Sus scrofa: one gene and its partners. The protein of the gene in region 2 purifies or fractionates together with the protein of the main gene of each other region. This does not show direct contact. Links are inferred from orthologs where the notes say so. Each region holds a gene or a part of one and is shown on either strand. Other genes may lie near its edges.

Region 1 (2,763 bases), on a different chromosome or scaffold from region 2:
CCAAAACGGGAACTCCTATCGTATCTTCTTATATTGTTTATTTACTCATTTGATTCTCACAATATTATTATTATTATTTTTTTGTCTCTTTAGGGCCGTACCGCACACATGGAGGTTCCCAGGCTAGGTGTGGAATTGGAGCTATAGCTGCCAGCCTACACCACAGCCACGCCAGATTGGAGCTGCGTCTGTCTGTCTGTGACCTACATCACAGCTCACAGCAACGCCGGATCCCTAATGCACTGATTGAAGCCAGGGATCGAACCTGTGTCCCCATGGATCCTAGTCAGATTCGTTTCCGCTGAGCCACGATGGGAACTCCTGATTCTCCCAAACTTATGAGCAGTGCAGTTACTGTCTTCATTTTACAATTATACAAAGTGCCACTCAGGTTAGGGGAGTTGCCCAAAGTTCAAGAGAGAAAGGAGACACAGCAGGAACGCTATTTGTCCTTCCTGCATCTTTTTGGGTGGACAAAGGAAGATGCAGATAAAATCATATACCCATTTAATCAAAGGTTTATTCAATGAAAGTATGTATAAAAACTTACAAATCTGAGAACTCAACTATACATGAAACAGGATGACGGGATATTCAGTTTTTAACATACACGTACAGCACAGTTATTAACTGCTCTTCCCTTTCCCCTTCGGTCCTTATTTTTGGCTCCTATTTTGTCTTGTGAGACCATTCTGTTATTGGCCTAAGGGAAGATTAATGGACAACGTTTATGCTTTCAGGCCAATGGAGGAAATTTCAGGTGTCGGGAAAAAATTTGGATACTGTAACATCAAAATTCAGAGTTTTCCCAAAGAGCAATTAAGGTTTTTGTCCTGATTTCTCTTGGCCATTTCTAATGCCTCCATGAATGTTGCCAGTGAACTATTAGCATTGACGTTTAAAGTCATTAAAGTTACTCTATCGGCTCATAGCTTCCCCTGTAAGATGCATTTCCTGCATCCTTTGTCCTGCGCACACACACTGATTTAAAAGCAGCTAACTGGTGCTAAACAAATTTACCACTGGCAACTGCTAGAATGGCATGTCGTTTTCTATTCAGAAAGACAACCTACAGAACAGTACTTCCAAATCTGATTTTTTAAAACAACCAACAAATTTATCAGAAACGAAAACACAGTGTTTTGTTGTTGTTCAACTTCGAAAAAAGCCAGCAATCAGATAAGGCATGTGCATTCATTCACCTGTTTACAGCCGGTATCCACACATTTTCTCTTCCAAACACACAAACTCACAGCTTGTCATGTTGTATCCAAAAATTCAGATTGCCATCACATTATTACTTTTTCCTCTTCTGTGTTTTGTTCAAGTAGATTTCTTAACTAATGATTTTTCTTGACTGGACATAATCTGAAAGGATGCATTCTGAAATAAGATACCTGGAGGATAAATACTAAGAACATGTTCTTGGGTTTCAAGTTTCCCCACACCTGGAGATTGTGCATAGTCCCGAGCCCCGCTGTATTTCTAAGAAGCATGCTGTGTTTCCAGACACTATCTTTCTGAGAAGGAAGACTTATTACCCAGGGAAAGTCATAATTTTAGCTTGGTTACCAAATTGCATTCGCGTGGTTTTGTTTGGTTAAATACCCTTCATTAGTTCCAAGGATGCTTTTAAATAATCGAAAACCTCTCAAAATCTGAGTTTATAAGTACTACTGACCATTATCTTTCCAATATCCCCTGAATTAAAGTGAATATGTTCCAGGTTTATGATGCACAAAGCCTTTCCGGAGGAGGGGGCTGGGGACGGCGCGGGGGAGGGGGGGGAGGGGCCAGGGACGCGTTCGGCTCATGCCACGTGGAGAGCTACAGTTCTGGATTGGGGGAAGGGAAGGAAGATAGTCTGTGTTAAAATGACAAGGTTTTTTAAAAAGATAAGGAACATTCAGTCTAACAACACGGTTTCCTGTTCCTTTTTGATGGAAGCTAACACCGGGTGGTCGGGTTCCGTCACTTCCGAGTCCCCACTGCCCAGGAGAATGGACCGCCCCTCGTCCAGGGCGAAGACGTCCGAGTTCTGGTTTTGGCACGAATGTTTAACCACCTCATTGGGAGTCGAGAACGTTTTGTCACACAGGTTGCATTTGTAGGGTTTGTTCGTCTGCACCAACAGGTTGTCCATCTGGCTCCCTTCCTCGAAGGTGCACAGCTCCAGAGTCTGCTTGTCCACCATGGTGTACGTGTCTATGCTCTGGTTGAGGCACACGTGCCGGGCCGCCTGGTTGGCCCTGCAGAAGCTCTTGTCACAAGTGCTGCATTTGAAAGGCTTCCCGGTGTGTATGTACATGTGCTCCCTCCAGTGGCTCTTCTGGATAAACTTGCGGCCGCAGATGGTGCACTCGTATTTGCGCCGCTTGACCTCCCGCTCCTGGTCCGCCTGCTCCAGGTTGTCAATGTCCGCGATGTCCGAGGGCGGCGGCGTCTCCGAGTGCGGCTGCCCGTCGATGATGGGCGAATCCGAGATGTGCTGCAGCTCGCTGTCGCTGATCATCCCCGCTTCAGGCACTTCCATGGCGTCTTTGCCCAGGTCCGCCGTGGTGCTGCAGAGCGACAGGGGCACGCGGCTCTCGCCGGGCTGGCTGGCTGGGAAGGGCACCCCCGTGTGAATCTGGAGGTGCTCCCGCAAGCTGCTCCGGAGCGTGAAGCGCCGCCCGCACAGGTGGCAGGCGTAGTACTTGGGGAAGCTCCCGTTCCTCTTCATGATGCTCGGCTTCACGTGGGCTATGGTCAGGGATGCGGGCT
Region 2 (3,932 bases):
CTGTCCTCAACACCCAAGAATGCAGGCTGGCTGGCATTTTCTTGCATTCCCAGAGCCACTGCACATCCCACAACCAGATCCCACTTCCTCATATGCAGAGAACACCATGGAATACATAATTTAATTTCTGTTAAATTCCCAAGTGTTAATATAAACGTAACATCTGGGCCGAAAACACACAGAACTATTATCTTTCAAATCTTTACACACCAAATAAATAAAACCTTTACACAAACCACATCGTGGGTAACATTTTTTAAAGATTTCAAGAAGCAGCCTTCATTCAAATACAAATGAAGAGTTATTCCACCCTAACAAATTATTTCTCAATAGGAAGGGGTGGCAGAATTACCATCAGCCAGCACTTCAACATGTGTGATCTTATTTATTCCCTCAAATGTAGGCAGTGAGAACCGCCAACACCTCTGTTTACAGACCAGACTACTCGGGGATAGAGACTGACCGATTTGCCCTCATTCACAAAGCCAAGAAGCAGGAGGCATGATTCAAACTCAGGTCTCTAACCTTAAAGCCCTCCATCTTGTCTATTGTTACACTAGGTCAAAAAGATCCAAGGAAATGTAAATTGAAGTTTTAAACAAAGAGCCAAACGCACACAATGCTCTAAACCAGAACCTCAATACCCTGGTCAAAGTTGGTATAAATATCAATACTTAGAAGTCTGCAGTGTTTAGTTGTCGGCTCTTCTTCCCGCTGTACATTGACATTGAGATTTTGGGGTAAGCCCAATGGAAGTCCCTATCTGTAGAAGTCAATGTTCGCATATGGACAATCCAGCCGTTATATCGGTTTTATGTGAAGGTAATTTATTTACTCTTATTTCTTACATTACAAAATTCCCTCTCTCGAGTTGGATTAATCCTCATTAAATTATATGCTCACAATTTAACACACTTGTAAAAGTGCATGGCCAAGTTTCTATTAGGAAATGTGCAACTGTATGAAAAAGATAACCTAGGGCAGAGGTTGCCACAACTCTGGGGCCACCTGGCTTGGGTTCAAAAGCCCACTCCACCGCTTACCAGCTGTGTGATCTGGGGCATGTTATTCAACATTTCAGCCCGGTTCCACATTGGTAAAACAAGAATGATAAAAAGTAATTATTCTACTGTTGTATTAAACCAAATAACAGGACACAAAACTCTTGAGATGTGCCATGCCGTATTCTAAGTACTCAATAAATGTCAGTAGTTATCACCGGAGAATTTGACAAAGAATTGAAAAGAATACTCTTAAGAGGACCAAGAGCAATTTCAAAGTGTATCCCATCCCACACTATAAGCCAACAACCCCACCTTTCCGGTAGTGAACTGCTGCTCAGTTCTCTTCCCCTTTGCAATTAACACGTATTTATCTTGGGGGCTGGTTACAAGGATGTGTGCGCTTCGCAAAAATTAATCAAGCCATATTTTATGACTTGTGCACTTTTCTGCACGTAGCTGTTTTCTTTCTTCTTTTTTTTTAATGGCCACACCCGCGGTATATGCAAGTTCCCAGACCAGGGGTCAGATCCAAGCCGCAGTTTCGACCTACGTCGCAGCTGCGGCAATGCCAGATCCTTTAACACACTTTGCAGGGGCAGGAATAGAACTTGCGTCCTGGCGCTGCAGAGACGCCGCCAATCCCATCGCGCCACAGCCGCAACTCCTAGGCACGCTATTTTCCCATAAAGTTTTTAAAGAAATCCCACCAGTCTGGCACCCAAAAAGATGCTGCTCTATGTTAATGCCCAATAAATGTCAAACATATCCGGTGCCTCCCGCAAATAACATTAATCTCACAACAGATTCTTTCTCCCCCTTTAAGCGCCACATTATTACGCCAGAAACCAACCCCCAAATCACTTAAGTTTTAAAAATAAAAATCACCTGCCACCTCACCCAAGGGCTAAACTAACTACATGCTTACGTTCCATACAGAAAACGCCAAAAAGTAGGAAATCCAGGACAACAGTTAAATTTACGCAAAATAAAAGGTGCCAGAAACCCTTACTTAGTCACTTCAGGAAGCCACTGAACGGTAAGACTCGGCCACTGAAGAGCATGGGTCATAACCAGGTCATACAGAAACGGTGTATTCTTCTTCCAGATTTTATATTCTTCATTGATGACACGCTCCTCCACAGTATCTTCAAACACTGAAATTTGGAGAAAGCCCACACGATTAAGTGGCGGAGAGGGATCGAAAACAAAACCTGTACACAGATACCGGAGGTCACCTCGAGATGGCCACACCTAATCTCCTCTCTCTCTAATTTGGACACGAACTGCTCGTCCACAACGTGGAGAGAATATTAACACCAGGAAGCTTTTTTTTTTTTTTTTTTCCCTCTCCACTTTGAAATCAATAATGCCTGCGAATACAGAATCGGGTAATTAATTACACGGACATCGCAAATGTTTTGCCGCTACAGCTGTCCGCACCTGTTCGGAGATGACGAGCCGTATGTAAAGAGGCTCCCCGACCCACCCGGCGAGACGAATCCACGTGTAGCAGAAACCCATCGGCCCGCTCCCTCCATCCCCCACCAGGAGAGGCCTCGGCTCCCACGAAGCCCGCGTCGGCAGCCATAAGCCACGGGTTCCAGAATTCCCCCGGACAAGAGCCGCGACCCCGAGGCGGCCGCCGCGCGCGCGTGGAAGAAGCCGCCGCGCCCGCTTTCCGGCGACGGAGGCCGCCTCCGCCCGGGGACCGAGAGCGCCGCCGCCGGAGGGGGTAGGGGGTGGCGGGGTGGGGGGGGAGGGGGCCCAAATCGCGGCCCCGCGCCCGGCTCCGGAAGTGCTCGCAGCCCTCCGCGCCGCGGCCGCGTCCCGCGTAGGCCCCTCGAGGCGCGCGCCCAGCCTCGCGCCCGGCCCCGCCCCCTGCTCCTCACGCCAATTCGCGCCTTTCGCCGGCGCGTGCCGCGGCCTCGCGCGCCCGCCGCCCCCGCCGCCCCGGCGCGCGCCGCCCCGCAGGGCCTCTTACTCTCTTTACTCGCCATCTTGCGTCGGGTCGTTTGCCCCTCGCCGCCGCCTCGGACTCCCCTCGCTAGCCAAGAGCAGCCCAACAGTAGGCGCTCCTGCCTTTCCCAGGCGCGTCACACACTTCCAGCTCTCGAAGCCTCAGCTCCGTCTTTCAGCCTGGGTGCTCCCCAGACGCCGCGTCCTTCTCTCCTACCTCCTCCCCGATTGCGGGTACCGAGGTCTGAGACGCTCTTCTCTCTCTCTCCAAACTTGGAACGAGACTTTTCAACCCGCGCCTCCCAGCCCGCCCAGGCAGCTGAGCGCAGGCGCATCCGCCCTGGGAAAAGTGAGAGGCGGTGGAGAGGCGGGCCTGGGAGCCAACGGCTTGGTGGTTTCGACCAATCACGTGCAGCAGGCAGGTTTCACGCGGCGTTCGGAGGCGGGCTTCTGGAGGGTGGGCGGGACGTTTCGCGGCAGGAAGTTGGCGAGGCGCAGGCGCGAGGTCTCGCCCGGCGCTCCCAGGGCCGGCCGCGGGGGCGGATGGGGGCGCGCGGGGGTGGGGCGAAGGGAGGTGCGGCGTGCAAGCTGCGTGGGGGCTGTGAGCCCCGGGGCGGCGAGCCCTGGGGCCGCGGGGCGTGGCTGCTTGCAGCGGCCGTGGCCGTGGCGGTGGGGGGTAGGAGGGGGGCAGGGAGGCTGTTGCTGCTTAGCCAGGCACAATCTCAGAGCGAGAGAGGAAAATGGTTTCTGGTCTCGAGAGATTACTGTGCCCTCAAAGTCTCCCAGATAATCGCAGGCATGCAATTGTGTGCACCTCGAAAGGTCTCCCTCCACCCGACTAGCCTTTCCTGGGGCCTGGTGGAGCCGAGGTGTTGTTTGTCGGAGGCAAAGGGGGACTTTTGCAGAGGCCGCGGGTGTTTTCTGACTGCAGAAGCCGCCGGGCCTCCCTGGTTGGCTAAACTGGGGCCTGTG
Region 3 (4,210 bases), on a different chromosome or scaffold from region 2:
GGAAGGCAGAATTTTCTTAACCTTCCTTAAGACAACATGCGTGACGGGTGGGGGGGAATAACTGCTGGGGAGAAACTGCCTCGCACCGGGCCCTTATCTGGCGAAACAGAAATTCCTAGTCTTCTGAGTGCCTGGAGTCATTGAATGTTAGAAGGAGAAATTAAAAACAAAGAAACCTACGAGGGTCAGAGTTTCTAGAGCAAACTCTGCACCGCCCTACCACCCCAAGAAGCCCCGCTACCCAAACAGCCCCCGCCCCTGCCGCCCCCCACCCCCCACGTAAACACACAAAGACAAGAGCTGCACCCACGATTCGCTCACAGTCCTCACTTCCCTTTGTAGGATAACGGCAGTCCCCAAACTTCCCCGCGGTGGTTTTTGGGTGTCGTCGGGGCTGAGTCCCCTGATCGTGCGGGCTGCGCACGGCTCGGCTGGGGTGGGGGGGCCCTCGCCGCGCTCGCGGGTTTCCCCGAAAGCAGTCAAACGCCTCCCGGTTCCCACTCCGGTGCTCCGCGGCCGCCCCAGGCTGCGCTTCCCCCCACATACACACACCCCGGCACGCGGCGACGGCCGACACAGAGACACCCAGGCAGCAAACAGAACCGCTCCCAGGCGGATCGGTGCGTAAACACAACTGCGGTCGGGAGGAAAGTTCCTGTGGAGAGCTGCCCGCCCGGGCGGGGGCGGCGGCGGCGGCGGCGGCAGCGGCAGCGGCGGGAACCGAGCGCGTCCCTCGCTGCCGCCTCCCTCACCTGCGCCGGAACAACGGGCCCTGCGCCCGCCCGCCCACCCGGCCGGCCCGGCGCCTCCCGCAGGCCGCGCCTCCCGCACGCCGCGTTGCCGGGGCTTGTTCCTCCTCATGGCTTTGCCCTGACGTAATTCAAACATGGCAACAGTTCGACTTCAAAGGCGGATCCACAGACCTCCCAGACGCAGGCGCCGGTCCCGGGGAGCTGGCCGAGCCCTCGGTCGTCGCAGCAGCCAGCGCCCGGGCTCCAGCGCGGGGCCCCTCGGCTGCCGCTGGCCGCGCGGAAGCACGCTGCCTCTCCGCACACCCGCACCGCGCACTAGTAGCGCCGCGAAAGTTTCCCCGCGAGAGGCCGAGGGACAAAAGCCCCTTCCGAAACTCGCCCGAACTTCGGGGGGCCAGGCCTGCACGGCCCTCCGCCCGGCGGCCGCCCAGAGCGCCCGCCGGGCCCGCAACAGCACATGCGGCTCTTTGTTTTCTGTCCAGCTGGGCGCTGCCTACGTGCAGCAGGAGGGACGTGGGATTGTTTCTCTGAGGGAGATACTAGACGATCGCCCAGGGGAAGGGGCCGGACCCCACGTCCCAAAAGTCCGGGGCCGGTCCTGCCGTCCTCCCCTAGCAGCGGGGCCATTTAATCAAAGTTTTGCAATGTCCTTGATGAGAAACGCCCGGATTCCCCGCCCTGCACCGGCCGAGAGTTGGCGACTTTCACTCTGCTTTTGAAACTGGCAAGACGCCATCATCAGCAAGTCACATTGTCCTGCCGGCCGGCCCCGACAGCACCCGCATCTCCCGGCTGACCGCGAGCCAGAGGCTCAGCCGGACCTGGGAGCAAACCCGGGTCGCAGCCCCAGCACGTGGTCTGTCACGCTCGGCACAAAAAGCAGTGCCCTCCTGAGTTCCCGCACTCCTCCGGCGCAGACAACGCCGCTGCCTCCATCCCCAAGTCAACTTGACTCCGACTGGCCATCTTAAGCCGTACACCGTGGCCCTAGAGAGCGCCGCGGCGCCCAAACCACGCTACAGGTGAATAAATTGCGGACCAAACTTGAGGCTCCAGACACCCCGAACGCCTGCGCTGCCTGGGCGCGGCCCTGGGGAGAAGCGTTTCAGAGCCGGGGCCGCTTCCGAGCGGCCGCGTGCTGCTCATTGTCGCATCCGCATCCCTCCGGAGTTGGGCGGACAACGCCACCCGCATGCACTCCGGCCATGCCGGCACCAAGCCGAAAGGCCAATTTAAACCTCCTCCGCCGGCCAGCTCACAAGTAGACGCAACTTAGTTTTCGAGCGAGGGGCATTCATTGTCCACACTCATCTAAACACGCGCCGGGGGTGGGGGGGCAAGAAACTCAACCACGAGGTCCAACAACGGCGCCCGGCCACTCCCGGGCGCGCGCCCACGCGGGTGCACCGACCCAGGGCCCCTCGGCAGTCGCCAGCAACTCGTTTTCTCTCGGGCCTTTCAGCCACCAGGCTCCTTTTCGCCAGCGAGCACTGCGGCTGAGAAAAGTCATTGTCACCTTCAATGTGGACCCCTCAACTCCGGCGACTCCTCACTCTTCCAGGCTTCACTCACTTCCCCCACCCCAAGACTTTCGGTTTGCCTCAAATACCCTCCCCAATTAAAAAGGACACACTAAACATGCAGATACAAAGAATCTGGGGTCTGAGGACCACGAAAACCGCGCTCCAAGCAATGCCATCTCCAAGACAAAACTTCCTGTGTGCGTATATGAATGTGTGCGTGTGTGTCTGTGGAAGGACTGGGGGAGGTGGTGAGGTGAGGTGAAAAGAGAAAAAAAGCCACTCCGAAATCAAAGCCTCCTGAGACAGTTTTGCACCGCAGTAATGGTTAGAGTCACTCACCTTCCAGAAGCAACCGTTCCACGCGCAATAATGTTTCAGAGGTGGGGAGTGCACGCCAAGCCAACCCACGCTCCAATCGCTCCCTCCTCCTCAACTGCCTTGTCTAGAAAGATTGTCTCCTGCAGTTCTGCAGTTGCCACGGCTGGCGGGGAAGGTGTAGATTCCGCTTTCCTTCTGCGCACGCGCAGCTCCTGGTACAAAATTCTCCTGAATCGAACTTATTTGCATACGGGCGCGCGCGCGTCGAGGGCTGGGAGGGGAGAAGGCCCGGCGGCCGCGCGCGCTCCCGAGGCCTCTATTGTCCTTTTAAGGGGAGAAGCGCCGCGGCGCGGGAAACGCGGCGGCCACAGGGAAACGGGGGCGGGGACTGCTTACTACGGTGACGTCACGTAAACAAACGCCCCCTGGCTGGAGGCCCAGGCTAAGGGGGAGTGGCGAGAGGGGAAAGGCGGAAAGGTTAGCAACCCAGGGAGAACACTGGGCTGCGTGTCGTACTTTACACTCGGAAGCTTTTCGCGCACACCGTTTCGCGTTGAAAAATAGTTTTGAAGGCTGTTTTTGCAAAATTTTCACATCTCTGCCCAGTGTCTGAACTGAAGTGGCAGGGGAGGTGGTCTTCCAAGCGCCCAGATTGAATTAATACTTCTCCCATGTTTCCTAAGTTTTGCTTGAAAAAGGGTTTTTGAATCTTTTTTTTTTTAAATTCTCTGAGGCCAACGGAGATTTGTCTTTCTTGCAGTTTTAATGAGTCGTTTAATAAAGTCCCATTTTGACATTCTGTTCATTCACCAGCTCCCGTCTGCACTCCTCAAAGAGTAACCCACTCCATAATAATTCAGTTTTTTTCTCCACTTTGGCCTTAAGATTTCAAGCCTGTTGCAGTTGAAGAGTTGTTAATTTCCGTGGGAATAGTGTCGCTTTTCTTTTATAGTGGAAAGCCAGTAATCTAGGGACACACATCCCACCTCCAGCTGCTAGTAAAGGGTGATCCAATCACCCAGAAATAATACCACCAACTGGTGGTCTTGGGAATTGAAAAAGTTGCCGGTGAAATGCAGAGTTTCCCTTATGGAATATGTAATAAACCAACAATCTAAATGCTTCTTGCCCCAGAAGAGAAAAAAAAAAAAAAAAACTGAAGAACTGAAGTAAATCTCAGACCAATAAGTGAAAAATGGAAAAAAAATAATTGTGGTACACCTTTATTCCAAGAACACATCTAACACCAACAGGCTGAGACACTGATTTAATGACAGACATGGGGAGACAGGAAGGATGTTTTTCCCAGAAACTTGATATTGGTCCCAAGATGCAAAAGTGTGGACATTAACCATAAAACTTAATCATCTGCTGACAAGTTTCACTGCTTTCACTGTAGTGTCAACAATGTGGACTTAGATATTTCTGATGCAAATCAAAACCACTTTGAGATACCACCTTACACTGGCTAGAATGACCATCATTAAAAAGTCTACAAACAGGAGTTCCCGTTGTGGCTCAGTGGTTAACAAATCCCACTAGGAACCATAAGGTTGCGGGTTCGATCCCTGGCCTCGCTCAGTGGGTTAAGGTCCCGAGTTGCCATGAGCTGTGGTA
Region 4 (3,500 bases), on a different chromosome or scaffold from region 2:
TGATGACGTGTGTGTTTGTGTGTGTGTGCATCTGTGTGTCTTTGAGGCAGAGGGAAGAGGATGACCCTCGCAGCCCAGTCTTGTTCAGCTTGGTCTGAACTCAGGCACACTCCAGGGCAGTGATACTTGGGAAAGGGTTTCGGGTGGAGGTTAAAAGGGGTAGGGGAATAGTTTTTGGTCCCTGTTCTGCCCCATCTTTATCCCCTCCCCAAAGGGAATGAGGACAGTGCTGACTAGGAAAGCAAGTGTGGGGGGAGGGGGTTGGGCCAGGGTGGGGTGTCAGAGCCCCTCCTACCACGGTCCCCTTTTCACCCACCCACAGGTTCTACCTGTTCTTCTGCTCCGTGTGTAACCAGGGCCCAGAGTACATCGAGAGGCTGCCCCTGCGATGGTGAGGTGGGGACCTTGGCCCAGGTCCACTCCTGTCCCCTCCCAGCTTCTTCCCCCCTCTCCTCTTCCTTGTGGGTGGTCCCTTCCAGCCACCAGGTCCCAGCCTTACCCCTGCCCTTCAGCCTGGACCTGAATGCTCCAGCCCTCCCACCTCCTTGCCCCCTTGCCCAGGGTCGATGTGGTTCACCTGGCTCTCTACAACCTGGGGGTGCAGAGCAAGAAGAAGTACTTTGACTTTGAGGAGATTCTGGCTTTTGTCAACCACCACTGGGAGCTCCTACAGCTTGGCAAGGTATGCAAGACCATGTGGCATCAGAATGGCAGGAGTCTGTTCCAAAGTGGGGTTACTGAGGTCCAGAGGTGAGAGGTTTGCCCAGGGTCACACAGGGCAGAACTAGGATCTGGGTCTCTGAGCACAAGTCTTGAGGAATACCACCTGTCTGTGAGGCTACTGAGTAAGGACAAAGACCCAGGGCCTTTCAGCTGCTGCAACCGTGTGTCCAGGCATCTGAGCCTGTGCCCTGCAAGGGGCTTCCTAACCCAGGTTTTGGCAGTGGATGGGCTAGGACCCCACTGACAGCCGCAGGGAGCCTGGGGGTCGAGTCTGGCTGGATCAGGTTTCTGCGGAGATGGGTGACTTACTCCAGATTACCTAGCCAGGATGGAAGGTGAAGTGGGCCTGCCCCCTGCTGGTCATACTCTGAATAGCAGAAGTCCTCACTGCAGTTCTGGGAGCTGGGATCCAGGGAGTCATGTTCTGACCCTTTCAGAATGTCAAAGGTGAAGACTGACTTGTTGGTGCTCATCACTGCCAGGGCCTCCCCAAACACTTCCATGTCCCCGTTTCTCTAATGACACCCTCAGAATCCTCTCCACCGCATCCAGTGAGGCATCTTCTCTGCTGACTGCCCCAAATCCTTTAGTGAAATGGAGTTTTTTTAAAAATAATCTTTATCCTTTGCAAAAGCTTTTCATATAACATCTTCAGTTATAGCATTTGATAATCTATAAGGCATATATATTATAAAGCCCTAAAAGATAAGTAGAGTTGGTATTTAAATTTTTTTTCTGATTATACATACATGTTTTAGAAAAATTTCAGAGCACCGAAAGCATAAGGGAGTATCCTTAAAACCAGCCACCCTCATGCATCACACCGCCCAGAAACAGCTGCTGCTAATACACATCCTTTCATTCTCCCGTTTTTCTTTTTACATGGCTTAGATTATACAGTATTTAAAACTTTTATTGAAATATATTTGATTTATAATATTGTTATTGCTAGTTTCAGATTACAGAAAAGTGATTCAGTTGTATGTTTTCATATTCTTTTCCGTTATAGGTTATTACAAGATACTGAATATAGTTCCCTGTGTTTTACAGTAAATCCTTGTGGCGCATCTGTTTTCTGTCTGGTAGCTTGTATCTGTTAACCCCGTACTCCTCACTTAGCCATCCCTTTCCCCTTCCCCTTGGGTAGCCATAAGTTTGTCGGAATGTAAATTGGTGAAGCCACTATGGGAAATGGTATGGAGGTTCCTTAAAAAACTAAAAAGGGATCTATCATACGGCCCAGCACTCCTGGGCATGTATCTGGAAAAGACGAAAACTCTAGTTCAAAAAGATAATGCACCCCAGTGTTCATAGCAGCACTACTTAACAATAGCCATGACATAGAAACAACCCAAGTGCCCGTCAACAGACGACTGGTTTATAAGGTGTGGTGTATATATACGATGGAGTATCACAGCCATAAAAAAGAATGAAGTATCATTTGCAGCAACTGGATGGACCTAGAGAATATCATAGTAAGCAAATAAGCCAGAAAGACAAATTATGTCTTTGTAATATTATGACAAAGTAATATTACATGTGGCATCTAAAAAATAATACAAATGAATCTATATACAGAACAGAAACAGGAGTTCCTGTCATGGCGCAGTGGTTAACGAATCCGACTAGGAACCATGAGGTTGCGGGTTCGGTCCCTGCCCTTGCTCAGTGGGTTAAGGATCCAGCATTGCCGTGAGCTGTGGTCGGATCCCGCGTTGCTGTGGCTCTGGCGTAGGCCAGTGGCTACAGCTCCGATTCAACCCTAGCCTGGGAACCTCATATGCCGCGGGAGCGGCCCAAAGAAATAGCAAAAAGACAAAAAAAAAAAAAAAAAAAAAAAAAAACGGACTCACAGTGTGTATAATTTAAGTCATTTTTTGGTTTATGTTATATCATACTTACTGAAAGGGTTTTTGTCATTATTTTTCCTGGCTGCATTTACTACTATAAATAAGTAGTATCTTTACTTTTTTCCTTCCTGTTGGGCATGTAGTTTCTTTCCCATTTTTCGTACTTGCCCATCATTAGAAAAATGCTGCAGTGAACTTTTTTGTACATAAAGCTTTGTTCGCGTGTCTTATTATGTCTCTATGATAGGTTCTGCGGAGTAGCATTACTGGGTCGAGGACAAAGACATTTTTAAAGCTCTTAATGCACTGGGGACAAGAGTTATTCCTCTCACTTACAGATGGGGATGTGGGCTCAGAGAGGTGAGAAGACTTGTCTGGATCATAGAACAAGTCAGTGGTCCTCAGCTGGAGGACGCCGAGCATCAGAGATTGAGAGGGAGGGGTTGGGGCTGAGGCCTCCTCAGATGCCACGTGCCGGGTCTGACTGTCCGCTGGCCTTCTCCCCTGCAGCTCACCAACACCCCTGTGACGGACCGGGGACCACATCTCCTCAACGCTCTCAACAGTTACAAAAGCCGGTATGTTCAGGGAAGGGAGGGAGCGCTTTGGGGCCCCCAGCAGTGGGATTTCAGTATAGGGTCTTCCTACCTCATAGCCCTTGCTCAAGCCATGCTCCCACCTGGGCGTCTGCCCTTCTCTTCCCTGACTGTATCCATCTTACCTGTCCCTCAAGATCCAGGGAGCACCTACCTCCTTTGGGACACTTCCCTGACCACTCAGCCGCCTGGCACATGTGGGTACTGGGCTCAGCTCCTTAGGGGGCTGCACCTGTGATCTCTGAGCAACCCCTGCTCTGGCCATCTGTGGTTCTGGGCCAGGCACTGAGGTAACACTTCACCCTCTCTCAAGTGGGCTGCAGCCTCCTAA
Region 5 (4,242 bases), on a different chromosome or scaffold from region 2:
TTGCATATTCATCCTCCCTTCATCTCATGCTCTTCTGTTCTTGGAGGGAGTGCTCTAGGTATTCAGAATCACTGCCTTTTCTCACTTCTACTTTCTAACCATGTGTCATATCTGCCTGCAGATCACTATTTAGGCTGAATAAAATCATAGGTGCATTCTATGTCTAATCAGAATCAATAAATAATAAGACATTGTGCATTATTTGGGGCCTTCAAAAAAACCCTAACCGATTTAAATCTATGTGTAAACAAAACTAGTAAGGTTCAGGCAAAAAGTGATAAAATTCAATTTTTCACAGTGACTGTTTTTTGACAAGATCTGGCTGCTTAACCTAAGAGATTTAAAGGAGGACAACAATAAGAAACCTAGATGATTCTCTGAAATACAATACTACACTGCCTGGGTTGAAGTGGTCAAAACCTCAAAGTGTCACAGGAAAATAGCACATGACAATCTTCGAGTCCTGTGTAATATTACTTTGTTCCCAAGACTCAAATTTCCAAGAATGCTTTGTTTCGGCTTTAAAATTTAAAATATCCTGTACCTCAAGGTCTAGATTTCTCTTTGCATGTCAATGGTAACCATACTATTAACAGCTATTTCAAAAGTACTCTAAATAGGTCACCATGCAAGTGCACCACCGCGGCGAACCAAATGGATATAAGGAGAAATCCAAATTTATCACCCACTCACGTTTTCTTTTTAACTCAAATGTGCTACTCACAATAGTGTTTGTTTACTTTGGCACGCCATTAAAATTCTCTTTGTATTAGTTCTCTTTACACCCGTTTCTTCCAAAAACACACGTCATTATACAAACTGAGTCCATCTGAAATTAAAATTAGCTCCTCTGCCTGGCATTTCAGTTTACAAAAGACAGAAATTAAACCCTGTCGACCGATCACCTAGATGAGGACGTGAACCTGATTCCTAATTAGGTTTTTCCTCGCGTCTTCACCACCCCTTGTCCTCGGGCCCCCCAGTGTTTTTCTGTCTTAGAGGAGAAAGATGTTAAGGTGGTGGTGAACCTCAAGCCGCCAGGAAGCCCTAGCCGACGTTTAATGCTTAAACGTTCTGATCCCCCGGGGGGAAACTTTTTTCTTTTTCTTTTTTTAAGGTTACCCGTTGGACAGTTTTCAGGGCAGTCAGCCCACACTAAACTCGATCTCCCAAGAGCGGGAGGGTGGACAAAACCTGCACGGTCGTGGGACGGCGCGGGGGGGCCCCGCGTCTGAGGAAGGGTGGGACCTCGTTGAAGCCAGGAGATTCAAAACACGGATCGACTAAGGGAGAAAGAAACCTCAGGGGGCTGTGGGGGCACCGCCTACCTCCGCGATCAGCCCCGGATGCTCCGGGAGCCTACAGGCCGCGGCGGGAGGAGGACCGAGCCCGAGGGCGGTGCCGAGCGGGCGGGCACACAGCCGCCGCGCATGCTCGGAGCCGCGCCCGCTGCAAGCCGCCGCGTCGACCCGCAAGGCCTCCCTCCAGGGTCGCGGCGGAGAGCCACCGCCCGCTGCTCCTTTTAAGGCTTGCGAGGGGCCGCGCTTGATCCACCTGATGGGGGAAAAGTCGGTAACACCGGGCTGGGGGAGCTGGTCCAAGCTTCCCCCTCCCTGTGGGAAGGACGAAAGGGAGGACTCAGCCGTCAGCCCCCGCAAGTCCCATTCAGACCTTGAGCAAAGAGGTGGACTTGACAGTGCTTCCCCTTTAAGAGGGGGCGGTGCGCAGCCTGCCGTTTGGCTGCCCTTCGCACCCTCCCCCCGCCCCGGGCCGAGAGTTTACAGACCAATCACCCGGGTGGCGGAGGGAAGGCGGGAGAATGCGAACCTTTCGGTAGGGCGGTAGGGGCGGGCCCCCGGCCTTATTAGGAGGGAGGCCTGCGCAGGCGCAGACGCGTCCGCAGCCGGAGGGGCGGGGGCAATCCAGTGAGAGACTCTCCGACAGGCACCGAGGGTGATTGGGAGGAAAGGGGCAGCGAAAGGCTTGTCATGGGGTTCCGAGCTGCGAAGCGGCATCGGTAGCATCTGGGGATTTTGAGGGGGACAGGAAGTGTCAACGCCCGGGACCCCGGCGCCAGCTCCGCTGGGGGGATCCCCGCTGCTCTAGTCCTGGGGAGGGAGGGGAAAAAGGAGGGAGCCCAGATCTCGCCCCGCCCCTGGGCTTGTTACCGCGGGGGCGGGGAGTGAGGGCTTCTTTTTGGGGGGAGTGGAGATCGGGGGACTCGGCTGTGCCCTCCTGAGCGGCTGCGGGTGTCCCCGCGGCGCCGGGCTGCGGAGCAGAGGAGCCGCGGCGGCCGTGGCTGTTGCATGAGTGGCTGCTGGATGCGGAGGCGGCGGCGGCGGCGGCGGCGAGGAGCAGCAGCGGCGGCAGGATGTTAGGGCAGCAGCAGCAGCAACTCTACTCGTCGGCCGCACTCCTGACCGGGGAGCGGAGCCGGCTTCTCACCTGCTACGTGCAGGACTACCTCGAGTGTGTGGAGTCGCTGCCCCACGACATGCAGAGGAACGTGTCCGTGCTGCGAGAGTTGGACAACAAATATCAAGGTAGGGGCCGCGGGACTGCCTGTGCGGGTCCTCCCCCAACTCATCCGCTGGCCGCCGGGCACGGTCCCTCGGAGCCTGCCTGGGGAAGTGCCGCTTTCCATTTCTCCTGTGACAGTCTCCCCGAGTGTACAGAGGGGTCTGGTGTGTGGGACGGGAGAACGGGACTGGAGACGGGGTTCGCGGCCCTCCCTTCCCCCTGCGGTCGGCGAGGACTTCTCTTGGAGTCTCAAGGGTGGAGGTGGGGGCGGCTCGACAGCCCCCGCTGCAGACCCGGAGGCTGCAGCTGGTGTGGAGGGGAATCAGCCATTTTAAGCAGCAAGCATTTGTTCCGGCGCTCCCCTGCCCGGTGCCGCAGACCCTCCTGCCCCGGCCGGGGAGTGTACGGCCAGGCGGGGCTGTGGGGAGTGAGCGGCCGGCCGCGGCCGGACTCCCGCTGGTCTCCTGGGCCTGGCTTTCCCCACCCCCCAGGTGGGCCCCCACTCCTTGAGAGCAGATGCATTGGAACGTGCGAGGGGGAGGGGGCTAGAGGGCTGCGAAGGCGGCCTCCGGGGAGGTCCCTCCGTCGGCTCTCAGGCTCCGGACTCGGGAATAGTAGTCTCCTCTCCCGCCCCAGGGAAAGTTCCGGGCCGTAGCCTTTCCCAACTTGTTCAGCCAAATGGTTAAAGGGCTAGGGGGGTCCCTGCGGGGAAGGAAGAGGGTGTGTGTGTGTGTGTGTGTGCGCGCGCGCGCGTGTGTGTGTGTGTGTGTGTGTGGCGGGGAGGGCCCCCACTTGGGGGCGGGGCCTGAGGCCGTGACGTAGGACATGGGAGGGGCGAGGACACGCGCGCTCCCGCCGGTCTCGGGAATGGCCAGTGTCGGGGATGGCTGGTCTCGCACAGAGTTGGGCGAAGCTAGCTGGTTGGAAACGGGTGGGAGCTGTGCGGGAAGTTAGCTCGTTCTCAGGAGATTCAGTGTTGGGATCTGGGACTGTTTGTTGTGATTTTTTTTTTTTACTTTTTCCGAACCACTCAATCACGACAAAGACACTGTCAGATGCTGGGATCGTCCCTGACCCTGGCACCGCGTAGGTTCCGGGCCTTGCGTCACTTCCGGGCCCTTGGAGGATGTGGGTTGGTTGACTGGGCAACCGCCTGGCGTCCCTTAAACCCTGAGTCCCTCCTCTTGCCAAGTTTAAGTGATTGAGGCACTAGTCACCCTTTGTGGTCCGATCCAGGAGGCTAGGACTGGGGCTCAGCTTTTCTTACAGAAAGTATTATTTATTATTTTCCATTGGTGGCCCTTTCGCCTTTCGCCAGAAGGGGAGTCTAAATGGGGAGCCGTTTGCGTTTAATAACCCTGAATCAAGGAACAGATCTGGGACTTAATGTGTAACCAGCCATATGGACTTTAAAGGGATAACTTCTTGGACCCATTCTCTGTTTCGGCACGTCACTAATCCTGTGATTTAGTCTCTAAGGAACCCGTTTCTTAAAGGGTGATATTTTTGGGCCTGTAGGATTTTAGAGCATCTCGGTGTGTTTTAATCTGTAATTTATTTTGAGCCCGTATGATTAAGAGGACTGATCTTTATGCGGGGGGAGTAGTGAAATAATACAGATTATTTACCGTCAGTTGCTGCACCACGTCCAGAACATTATCTCATTTAATCTTCACAACTCTATGAAATTAAAATTCATTTTGCAGATAAATTAAAATTTAC
Region 6 (4,044 bases), on a different chromosome or scaffold from region 2:
GTAGGCATTCTCAGTGCCTACAGTCTCTTCTGGAGAAAAGACTCAATCTGAGGTGCAATTAGTCAGAAATGGGTTCAATAGATTCTTCTACACAAGTGAAGAAACAAAATGGGAACAGAGAAGTAGGAGCATTAGGGCGGTGAAGAGAGAGGATTTTTTGCACCTGTGGCATAGGAGAGGCCCGGAACGAAAAAAGCTGGAGCAAGGAGCCAGGTGTCACCACTTTCCAAAAAGTAGTGTTCACAAGAAAGTCCAGGACTGCTCTCTGACATACATTAAGCTGACAATCATCAGCTTAATCTAGTGTGCATGGTGTCCTTCCTGTTTTCTTCCTTCCTTTCTCTCTCCTTCCCTCTTCCTTTCCCTGCGCCTGAGGCCTATGTAAGTTGTCTGGCCAGAGATTGAACTCAGGCCGTGGCAGCGACCCAGGCTGCTTCAGTGACACTTTAGGATTCTTAATGCCCTCCTTCGCAAGAGATTCGTTAGCATTTTCCTACTTTGGAATAAGTAGGTGCATTGTTCCTAGAAAGTAGAGCGACGTCGAGGAAACACTTTTTGTGGGAGCTTGAGCAGCTGCAGTGAGGTTATGGGAATGTCTTACACATTATTCTATTCTATTCCCGTGCAAGTGCCTTGCATGGTAGGAGCTCAAAAACTGTTTTTTAGAATTATCTTCAAACTTTTAGTTGTCCCTCTCAAAGAAGCCTGTGCCCACACGCGGCAGCAAGCAGGTCTGCGCCTAGAAATAACATTTATTCTAAGGACCTCTGCGCAGGGATTCCTGGGAGGCGGTTCCCCTCCCTTATTACTTCGTTTCTCCACCCCTCGGTCGCCTTTGAAAGAGTAGGAACGCCACGTGATTCCCTCGTTTACTCCACCTCTGAAAAACCGGCTGATAATGGGCAGGAGGGTAGACCAACTGTAAGACGTTATTTTCTCCTCCAGCCAATAGAAAGAGGAGCTAAGTATAAGGCTCAGCTTCGGTGACTCCCCCGCCCCCTTTGAGCCCGTCCCCAACTCCTCCTCTAAGATACCACATTTGACAACTCGCCCGGCCAATGAGAAGTTCCTACTCTGCATGGGAGGGATGGACTGGGTGATAGACGTCCTGATTTGACCAGTGGAATGTCACAAGTGCGGGAGGGGTGTAGGACGGAACCAATGGCGCAGTGCCAATAGCGAGCATGGGGGGGGTAAGGGCGGGACAAAACTGTTAGCGTGAGGGCGGGGAAGGCCCGGGGAACCCAGCAGCGCTGCCGCCGCCGCCGCAGCAGCAGCCGGAGTTGGAGGAGGGAGAAGCCAGGAAGAAAATGGCGGCTGTGGCTGCAGAGGCGGCAGCGACTGCAGCGTCCCCCGGGGAGGGGGGCGCCGGCGAGGCCGAGCCGGAGATGGAGCCCATCCCCGGCAGCGAGGCCGGCACTGACCCGCTCCCGGTCACGGCCACTGAAGCATCTGTGCCGGACGCCGAGGCCGACGGGCAGCAGTCCTCTCCTCAGGCCGACGAGCCCCCGCTCCCGCCGCCACCGCCGCCGCCGGGGGAGCTCGCCTGCAGCCCGGAGGCGGCGGAGCTGGAGCTGGAGGCGGACGAACTGCCTGCCGGTGTTGTGGAGCTGACGGCAGCCGCGTCTCAGGAGGGGCCTGACCTTCCACCTTCCCCTGCACCGCCGCCCGAGCAGCCCCCAGCTCCCGAGGAGCGCCAGGAACTACCGCTGCCCCAGCCAGCAGCCCCTGCGCTCGTGCCGCCGGCGGGCGGGGACTCCGCGGTGTCGCAACTGATCCCCGGCTCGGAGGTGCGGGTCACGCTGGACCACATCATTGAGGACGCGCTCGTCGTGTCGTTCCGCCTCGGGGAGAAGCTCTTCTCGGGGGTCCTGATGGATCTGTCCAAAAGGTACCGCGTCCTCCCCAGCACGCCCCCGGGCGCCCCGGCCCCCACGGTCCCCGGGGAGGGATCGAGCCTGGGCGGCCCCTTCACTTCGGGCTCCCGCCTCTTAGGCGCCCTGCTGCCTGTACCGCCCTTGGGTCCCGCGCGGCGCGTGGCGCGTGCTCCGAGAGGGGCAGGCGCGTGGGGCCGCAGGAGGGCGGGCCCTGCCCCAGGTGGACGCCCGCGAGTGCAGGTGTCCCGCCGGGTCGGGGGCGCGGGTGTTGACGGCCTTGCGGGTCTCACCCCCAGCCTCGGCCTTTTCCTATGACCTGGCCCTGGCTCACCCACACAAGGGTGGATGGGTTAATGCAAAATGCAGAAGGCTTTTTGCAGAGAACGGGGTGCTGGATGGGGGATACTGCCCTGTTCTCAAATTAGCCTTGAATGAGGTTGAAAAAAGGGGTGTGTGCTTTGGGACTCCCAAAAGGCTGTCACTCCTTATAAAGGGAAAAGCATTTATTAAAAATGAGATCCTTGACTGTTATTCTTAGTTAGAACTAATTCCCCCTAGATAAGTTCAGTATGGAAGCATATTTGGTTCATCATGATGATGGCTTTAAGAAAAGTCTAAAGAAGAGATGTTTTTTTTTTTAACCTTTAGTATCGAGATGTGGTATAAAAGTATTCAAATACTAACTTCTCAAACGATACAGTTTAAATGGTTGAGTTCACCCACAACGTTTGGGTGTGAACTCAATAGCCAGCCTCTTGTACCACATTTTCCTTTTTTAATTGTTTGGGCATTACTTTAAACAGGTGAAGAAGATACTTTCTTCTAGGTCTAGAGTTACCTTAACCTTTTTATTCTCTTCTTTTGCAGATATGAAGTGCAGAGACTCCCATTCACGGCTCTTCATTCTGTTTCCTGCAACAGCACACACTTAGTGTCTCACCTGTTTAGAAATGGTTAATTTTAGTATGTTTTACTTTTAGCTGCTTGCCCTCCCGTCCAGACCTAAGAATCTTTCCTCATTTGGGATACATAATTGAAGCATGGGAGAAGATGGGAGCCTTTACGCCTACGTCTTACATTTTTTAAAAAATTTAAAAAAATTAGTTTCTTTTTTGTCTTTTTTAAAAAAAATTATTTTTGCTTTTTAGGGCCGCACCTACGGCACATGGAGGTTCCCAGGTTAGGGGTCTAATCGGAGCTTTAGCTGCTGGCCTGTGCTAAAGCAACATGGGATCCAAGCCTCCTCTGCAACCGACACCACAGCTCACAGCAACGCTGGATCTCTGACCCACTTAAGCGAGGCCGGGGATCAAACCCGAATCCACTGGCTAGCAGTCGGATTCGTTTCTAACGCACCACAACGGGAACTGGCTGTTTTTTTTTTTTTTTGAAGTAGAATTTACGTCAGGACTTAAATACTTTTGTTTTTTGTCGTTAGAAAGCAAAATAAGACCAAAGTGCTTTCTACTGATTAATAGCAAAAGAGAGAGTGTATGCTTGATAGTGTGTATGCTATTGAATCAAACAGAAGTGAAGGCCGGTGATTGTGTGAGAATCTGGATTTCAAATCTGCAAAAGGAAAGTGCAAAAAGGTAAGTTGTTTCTGGAAATAGAATGGATGGTGCTATTCTGTTTTGAGGTGCTCATTGTGTTGGTGTTTTATTTATTTTAAAATTTTCTTTGGTAGGGAACTGCAATTTGTTTGAGTTTGGGTCTATTTTTACTGACAGTACTTAGAAAGAGCAGTTTCTTTCCTTGGGGTTCCTTTCACATTTTAACATTTTGAAGTGAAAGGATCCTGTCACTAAAGTAATTTTTAAAAAGCCATTAAGGGAACCATATCAATTTTTCATTCAACAGATATTTATTGAGCACATCCGTGTAGAGCACTCTCCTAGGCATTCTGAGTATTATATGTATTCTGCCTTCTAGAAGCTTATATAGGATGCACACACATCTTGGAAGTGGTGAGGAAATCAGACGGTGTTTTTAAAATTTTATCCCCCCCCATAAAATAAAATTTAGCCCTTCAAGGAATTACTATGGGCCAATGATTGACTAGTTGAATATCTTTTTCATAGTTTAATTCGGAAAAATGTAGTATGTTTTGTAATCTGCACTTACTTGATTGCGTGTTTTACTGCACAGTGTTGATGTTAATTGATGA
Region 7 (4,106 bases), on a different chromosome or scaffold from region 2:
GCCCTGGATGGAAAGGAGCCAGTGAGGCAGGAGGGATCATAGTTTAGGAGGTGGCTGGATGGCTGAAAGATCCAGGATGCCTCCAGAGGAATGGGCATGCTGGAGTGAGCAGTGATGTCCGTCTCTGGCCTGGGAACCTCATCAAACTTTGCTGACCTATTTCTCCCTCCACAGGCTTGTGAGTTGCACGTGGCAGGATTCGATTTTGAGGTGCTGAACGAAGGTTTCCTGGTTCATAAAGGCTTCAAAGAAGCTTTGAAATTCCACCCCCAAAAGGAGGCCGAAAATCAGCACAATAAGATCCTTTACCGTCAGTTCAAGCAGGAGTTGAAGGCCAAGTACCCCGACTCCCCACGTCACTGCTGAGCCCTTCCTTCCCCTAGTCTGAGAAGTCTCAGCCTCCTCCCTCCTTAGGCCGCCCCTCAGGCCTGACTGGGGTAAGAAACGTCACTCCACTTTACAGTGGTAGCTGTGGTGTTTGAACACTGGACTTGAATATGGGGTGCTGGGATCAAGTCCTAGCTTAACCACTAACTAGCTGTGTGGCCTTGAGCAAATCCCGTTCTCTCTCTGAGCCTCAGTTACCCCGTCTGTAAAAGGGAGGTGAGAATACCTACCTCACAGAACTGCTGGGAGGCTCAGATGAGATGCTATATGTGAAAACATTCTGTAAGCTTCGTACAAATGTGAAGTATTATTAATATTATTACAGTATTATTATTGTTGTTATTATTATTGTTATTATTATTAACAATCTTGGGTGGGTGAGCAGTAGGAGAGCAAAAAGTATGAATGGGGGCAGAGCTGAGAAGTCTGAGTAGTTAACAAAATGGGCTTTTTGGAAAGAAATCAGATGAAGGCGTTGAATTTAGTTCTTAGCTTTTGGGCAGAAGCCGAAACTTCCTGGTGTCTTAGGCCTCCGTCCCGGGGGCTCTAGAGAAGGGAAGGATCTGCAGGTTCTGTGCGTCTGAGATCTGTACCCTTGAATAGCCTGGGCTGGGTGATTTGCCTACCGACTACAATGTGTAAATAAATGAGTGTTCACACCTACAGCTGGCTCCATTACTCTCCGGAACCGGGCGGGGGTGGGGGCCGCGGGTCGCAGGTTCTCCCCTTTCGCGCCGCCGGGAGGTGACTGTGGACCCAGACGCGAGGGCTGCAAAGCTAGGAAGGCACAAGGGCCTTTCCTGCATGCTGAAAGCCTGTGTGAATGTCGGTCCGTTGCCATGGAAACCGTCCCGCGGTATCCCAGCATGCCTCGCCCCAGCTATCCAATTGTGAGCACTCCGATGGGCGCCTCCTGATGACGCATGCGGAAAGCGCGGGTAGGCCCCGCCCCCGGAGAAGAGGGACCGGTGCGGCGCTTCCGGGACCCCCACAGCGGCAGCCAGTACCGATAACCTCCGGCACCTCTTGGGGAATCTAAGACGTGAGGCTGGAAGCGCCACTACCTACGGGTGCGTAACGCCAACCCTGGCGCCTGGTTTGCCCTTTCGGACAGGCAGTCGGAGCCTGCCCAATATCCAGGGCGGTAGCGAGACTTAACCGCCCGGACGCGAGCTGGGGCCGCGGGACCGAGGAGCCAGTGACTCTCCCGCCCGCTCCGCCGCGTACGGAGATGGAGCGGGGCGCGAGGCTCTGGGTGCGCCGTGGAGGGACTGGGTCGGCTTCTTCGAGGGTGGGGAAGAATCTTCCTTCCTACGAGGCGTGCCCTTGACATGCTCGCTTTCTGAAAAGATAAATTGCATGTGCACAGCACCTTATAGTTTGCTTTTCGATCCCTTACCTCTTGCCATCTTTACAACACCCAGAGTAGTGATGGTTATCCTCATTTTGTACCCGGGCTAAAGTGGGGAGGATGTGATTTAATTTGGCTCTCTCAGTAGACCCAGAGACTGGTGGAGAGAGACCTCCCCCCAAGCCCCGCCCTCTCTGGTCCAGAAAGGTGGGACTTACCCCGAGTTGTTAAAATATATTTAACAGTGAAGAGAAATTGCAAAGTTTGGGAACTCCAGGAACTGAGGCTTGAAAAAGGGAAAGAGGAGGCTGATTTGGAGAACCGAGGTTTTCAGCTCAGGTTCAGATCATTTGTGAAATCCTTGAGGAATGCTTTGAAACGGCCCTCTAGGCCAGTCAGTTTACTCAAACTGATGTCAAGGAAAGGTGACAAAACACTTTGGGTTTGCTACCACTGTAGGGACCAGGGGCTACTAAGAAAGCCATTTCCTGCCCTGCAAAAATGTGTTTTGTTTAATTTGCATTCGCAAATCCTCCAGTGGTCTAGTGAGTCAGTACTGCGCGGGGTGGGTAAAGCGCGTGTGCAGCCCTGCCCTGGGGAGGCTCACAGACAGGCATGAGGATGGGCAACAGACGTGGAAATAAATAAGGAGGGGCATCTACGCGGATCTGAAGGACTACAAAGTACCCAGAGGAAAACATCCGGTGAAGTAGAAACCCCTTTAGTCAGAAATGATCTATTGAGACTGTTTAGTCTTCCTCTTGGGCGATCTTTTGGCAGCATTTGGCACTGTCTCATCTCCTTCATTCTGAAATTCTCTCTCTCCCCCTATACTCTGACTTTTTCCTCCTCTGTCTCTTGCTAATTTCCTTCTCCTTTCCTGGCATCTTGTCATCTGCCCCTTTGATGACCCTAGAAGTTCCATCATGAACTCCTTCTCACTCCACACATTCTGCCTTGCTGGTTGCACCCTCTCCCAAGGCCTGAAGAACTCACGATGTGATGACCAGATCTCTGCAGCCCACATTTCTCTGTGAGGCTTAGACCCATGGACCCCCAGCCCTGCCCCCTTCTCTCCTCTTGGGGTGTTTGCACCTGCTACTCACTCTACTTAGAATGCACCCTCTCTTGACCAGCTCAGCTCATCTGTCTGGCCCATCTTCCTCTGCAGGCCCTCACTGCTGCAGCAGGCTCCAGGTCCCAGTTAGATGCCTCTCCCGTAAGCCCCTGGTCTTAACTCTTCTCACCCCACAGCAACAGTCTGTTTCTTAGCCTTTCTGTCCCAGGAACTTGTAAACTCCTTGAGGTCAGAGACTGTCGCACCTGTGCCCAGCTCCTACCATAGTGTCTGCTGCTACCTAGCATGTATTAGATCTTCAGTAAATATTAAATGAGTGACTAAAAGAAGGAATGCTTAAGACTGTTCAGTTTGCTGAGAAGTCAACCTAAGATAAGCACCAAAAAATACTGGCATTAGGTACGAGGAGTTCGTCAGTTAACTCTACAGGATGGGCTTCAGCTGAGAGTGATGATACAGGAACAGAACAAGTGGGAGGTGGGCGAGTAGGAATAGCAAGTGTCCACAAGGCCTTGAAAAGTAGCCATGAGGTGGAAAACGGCGAGCAGTGGGGTGGGGTGAGGTTTTGTGTTTCTGCTTTCTCTCTCTGGTGGTAGATACCTGAGCACGTCTGACGTTCTCTGGGAGGAGCTGTCAGGAGCGAGAGTTGAAGATGCATAAGGGAGAGGGCAGCACTGAGGACATGAGATCATGAAGGAAGCAGGAGATAGGATTTGAGCCCAGTGAGAACACAAGCATCGTAGAGTGTTCTCAGGAAGAGAAGTGGAGGGCGGTGTAGGCAGAAGAATAGCACAGGAGTTCCCGTCGTGGCGCAGCAGAAAGGAATCTGACTGGGAACCATGAGGTTTCGGGTTCAATCCCTGGTCTCGCTCAGTGGGTTAAGGATCCAGCATTGCCGTGAGCTGTGGTGTAGGTCGCAGACGCAGCTTGGATCTGGCGTTGCTGTAGCTGTGGTGTAGGCCAACGTCTACAGCTCCAATTGGACCCCTGGCCTGGGAATCTCCATATGCTGCGAATATGGCTCTAAAAAGACCAAAAAAAGAAAAAAAGAAAGAAAGAATAGCGCCGTGGGCGTTAGGGCTGGTGGGGAAGTGCGTGGTATATTTGAGAACTGGCCAGCAGATGGTGGGGTGAAGGAGCTGGACCGGTGATTCAAGTCCAGTCTGTGCAGGGCCTTGGAAGCCCGGATCAGAAGTTTGGGCCCAGGAGTTCCCATTGTGGCTCAGCAGTAACAAACCTGACGAGTCTCCATGAGGATGTGGGTTCACTCCCTGGCCTCGTTCAGTGGGT

The links.
Region 1: the proteins of RBBP7 (region 2) and ZBTB2 purify together in Homo sapiens (affinity purification with mass spectrometry; 3 studies listed by BioGRID and IntAct, counting the BioPlex papers as one, with this or other methods). This does not show direct contact. The link is inferred for Sus scrofa from reciprocal best matches to the Homo sapiens genes RBBP7 and ZBTB2.
Region 3: the proteins of RBBP7 (region 2) and FAM60A purify together in Homo sapiens (affinity purification with mass spectrometry; 3 studies listed by BioGRID and IntAct, counting the BioPlex papers as one, with this or other methods). This does not show direct contact. The link is inferred for Sus scrofa from reciprocal best matches to the Homo sapiens genes RBBP7 and SINHCAF.
Region 4: the proteins of RBBP7 (region 2) and PHF19 purify together in Homo sapiens (affinity purification with mass spectrometry; 3 studies listed by BioGRID and IntAct, with this or other methods). This does not show direct contact. The link is inferred for Sus scrofa from reciprocal best matches to the Homo sapiens genes RBBP7 and PHF19.
Region 5: the proteins of RBBP7 (region 2) and ING2 purify together in Homo sapiens (affinity purification with mass spectrometry; 3 studies listed by BioGRID and IntAct, counting the BioPlex papers as one, with this or other methods). This does not show direct contact. The link is inferred for Sus scrofa from reciprocal best matches to the Homo sapiens genes RBBP7 and ING2.
Region 6: the proteins of RBBP7 (region 2) and PWWP2A purify together in Homo sapiens (affinity purification with mass spectrometry; 3 studies listed by BioGRID and IntAct, with this or other methods). This does not show direct contact. The link is inferred for Sus scrofa from reciprocal best matches to the Homo sapiens genes RBBP7 and PWWP2A.
Region 7: the proteins of RBBP7 (region 2) and BRMS1 purify together in Homo sapiens (affinity purification with mass spectrometry; 3 studies listed by BioGRID and IntAct, counting the BioPlex papers as one, with this or other methods). This does not show direct contact. The link is inferred for Sus scrofa from reciprocal best matches to the Homo sapiens genes RBBP7 and BRMS1.

The regions. Positions count from the first base shown.
Region 1 is NC_010443.5:14,892,696-14,895,458, reverse strand, and holds the end of ZBTB2 (zinc finger and BTB domain-containing protein 2), read right to left. Parts: coding exon 1,907-2,763; 3' UTR 501-1,906; downstream 1-500. UniProt on the Homo sapiens protein: May be involved in transcriptional regulation.
Region 2 is NC_010461.5:13,313,721-13,317,652, forward strand, and holds the start of RBBP7 (histone-binding protein RBBP7), read right to left. Parts: upstream 2,801-3,932; 5' UTR 2,593-2,800; coding exon 2,445-2,592; intron 2,159-2,444; coding exon 2,014-2,158; intron 1-2,013. UniProt on the Homo sapiens protein: Core histone-binding subunit that may target chromatin remodeling factors, histone acetyltransferases and histone deacetylases to their histone substrates in a manner that is regulated by nucleosomal DNA.
Region 3 is NC_010447.5:42,929,035-42,933,244, reverse strand, and holds the start of FAM60A (protein FAM60A), read right to left. Parts: upstream 2,801-4,210; 5' UTR 2,615-2,800; intron 1,005-2,614; exon of another isoform or gene 924-1,004; intron 763-923; exon of another isoform or gene 553-762; intron 1-552. UniProt on the Homo sapiens protein: Subunit of the Sin3 deacetylase complex (Sin3/HDAC), this subunit is important for the repression of genes encoding components of the TGF-beta signaling pathway.
Region 4 is NC_010443.5:260,906,277-260,909,776, reverse strand, and holds part of PHF19 (PHD finger protein 19), read left to right. Parts: intron 1-322; coding exon 323-391; intron 392-561; coding exon 562-682; intron 683-3,083; coding exon 3,084-3,151; intron 3,152-3,500.
Region 5 is NC_010457.5:44,916,153-44,920,394, forward strand, and holds the start of ING2 (inhibitor of growth protein 2), read left to right. Parts: upstream 1-1,442; 5' UTR 1,443-2,371; coding exon 2,372-2,543; intron 2,544-4,242. UniProt on the Homo sapiens protein: Seems to be involved in p53/TP53 activation and p53/TP53-dependent apoptotic pathways, probably by enhancing acetylation of p53/TP53. Component of a mSin3A-like corepressor complex, which is probably involved in deacetylation of nucleosomal histones.
Region 6 is NC_010458.4:63,408,677-63,412,720, forward strand, and holds the start of PWWP2A (PWWP domain-containing protein 2A), read left to right. Parts: upstream 1-1,244; 5' UTR 1,245-1,310; coding exon 1,311-1,891; intron 1,892-3,249; exon of another isoform or gene 3,250-3,386; coding exon of another isoform or gene 3,387-3,469; intron 3,470-4,044. UniProt on the Homo sapiens protein: Chromatin-binding protein that acts as an adapter between distinct nucleosome components (H3K36me3 or H2A.Z) and chromatin-modifying complexes, contributing to the regulation of the levels of histone acetylation at actively transcribed genes.
Region 7 is NC_010444.4:6,044,771-6,048,876, forward strand, and holds the start of BRMS1 (breast cancer metastasis-suppressor 1), read left to right. Parts: upstream 1-1,306; 5' UTR 1,307-1,457; intron 1,458-4,106. UniProt on the Homo sapiens protein: Transcriptional repressor. Down-regulates transcription activation by NF-kappa-B by promoting the deacetylation of RELA at 'Lys-310'. Promotes HDAC1 binding to promoter regions.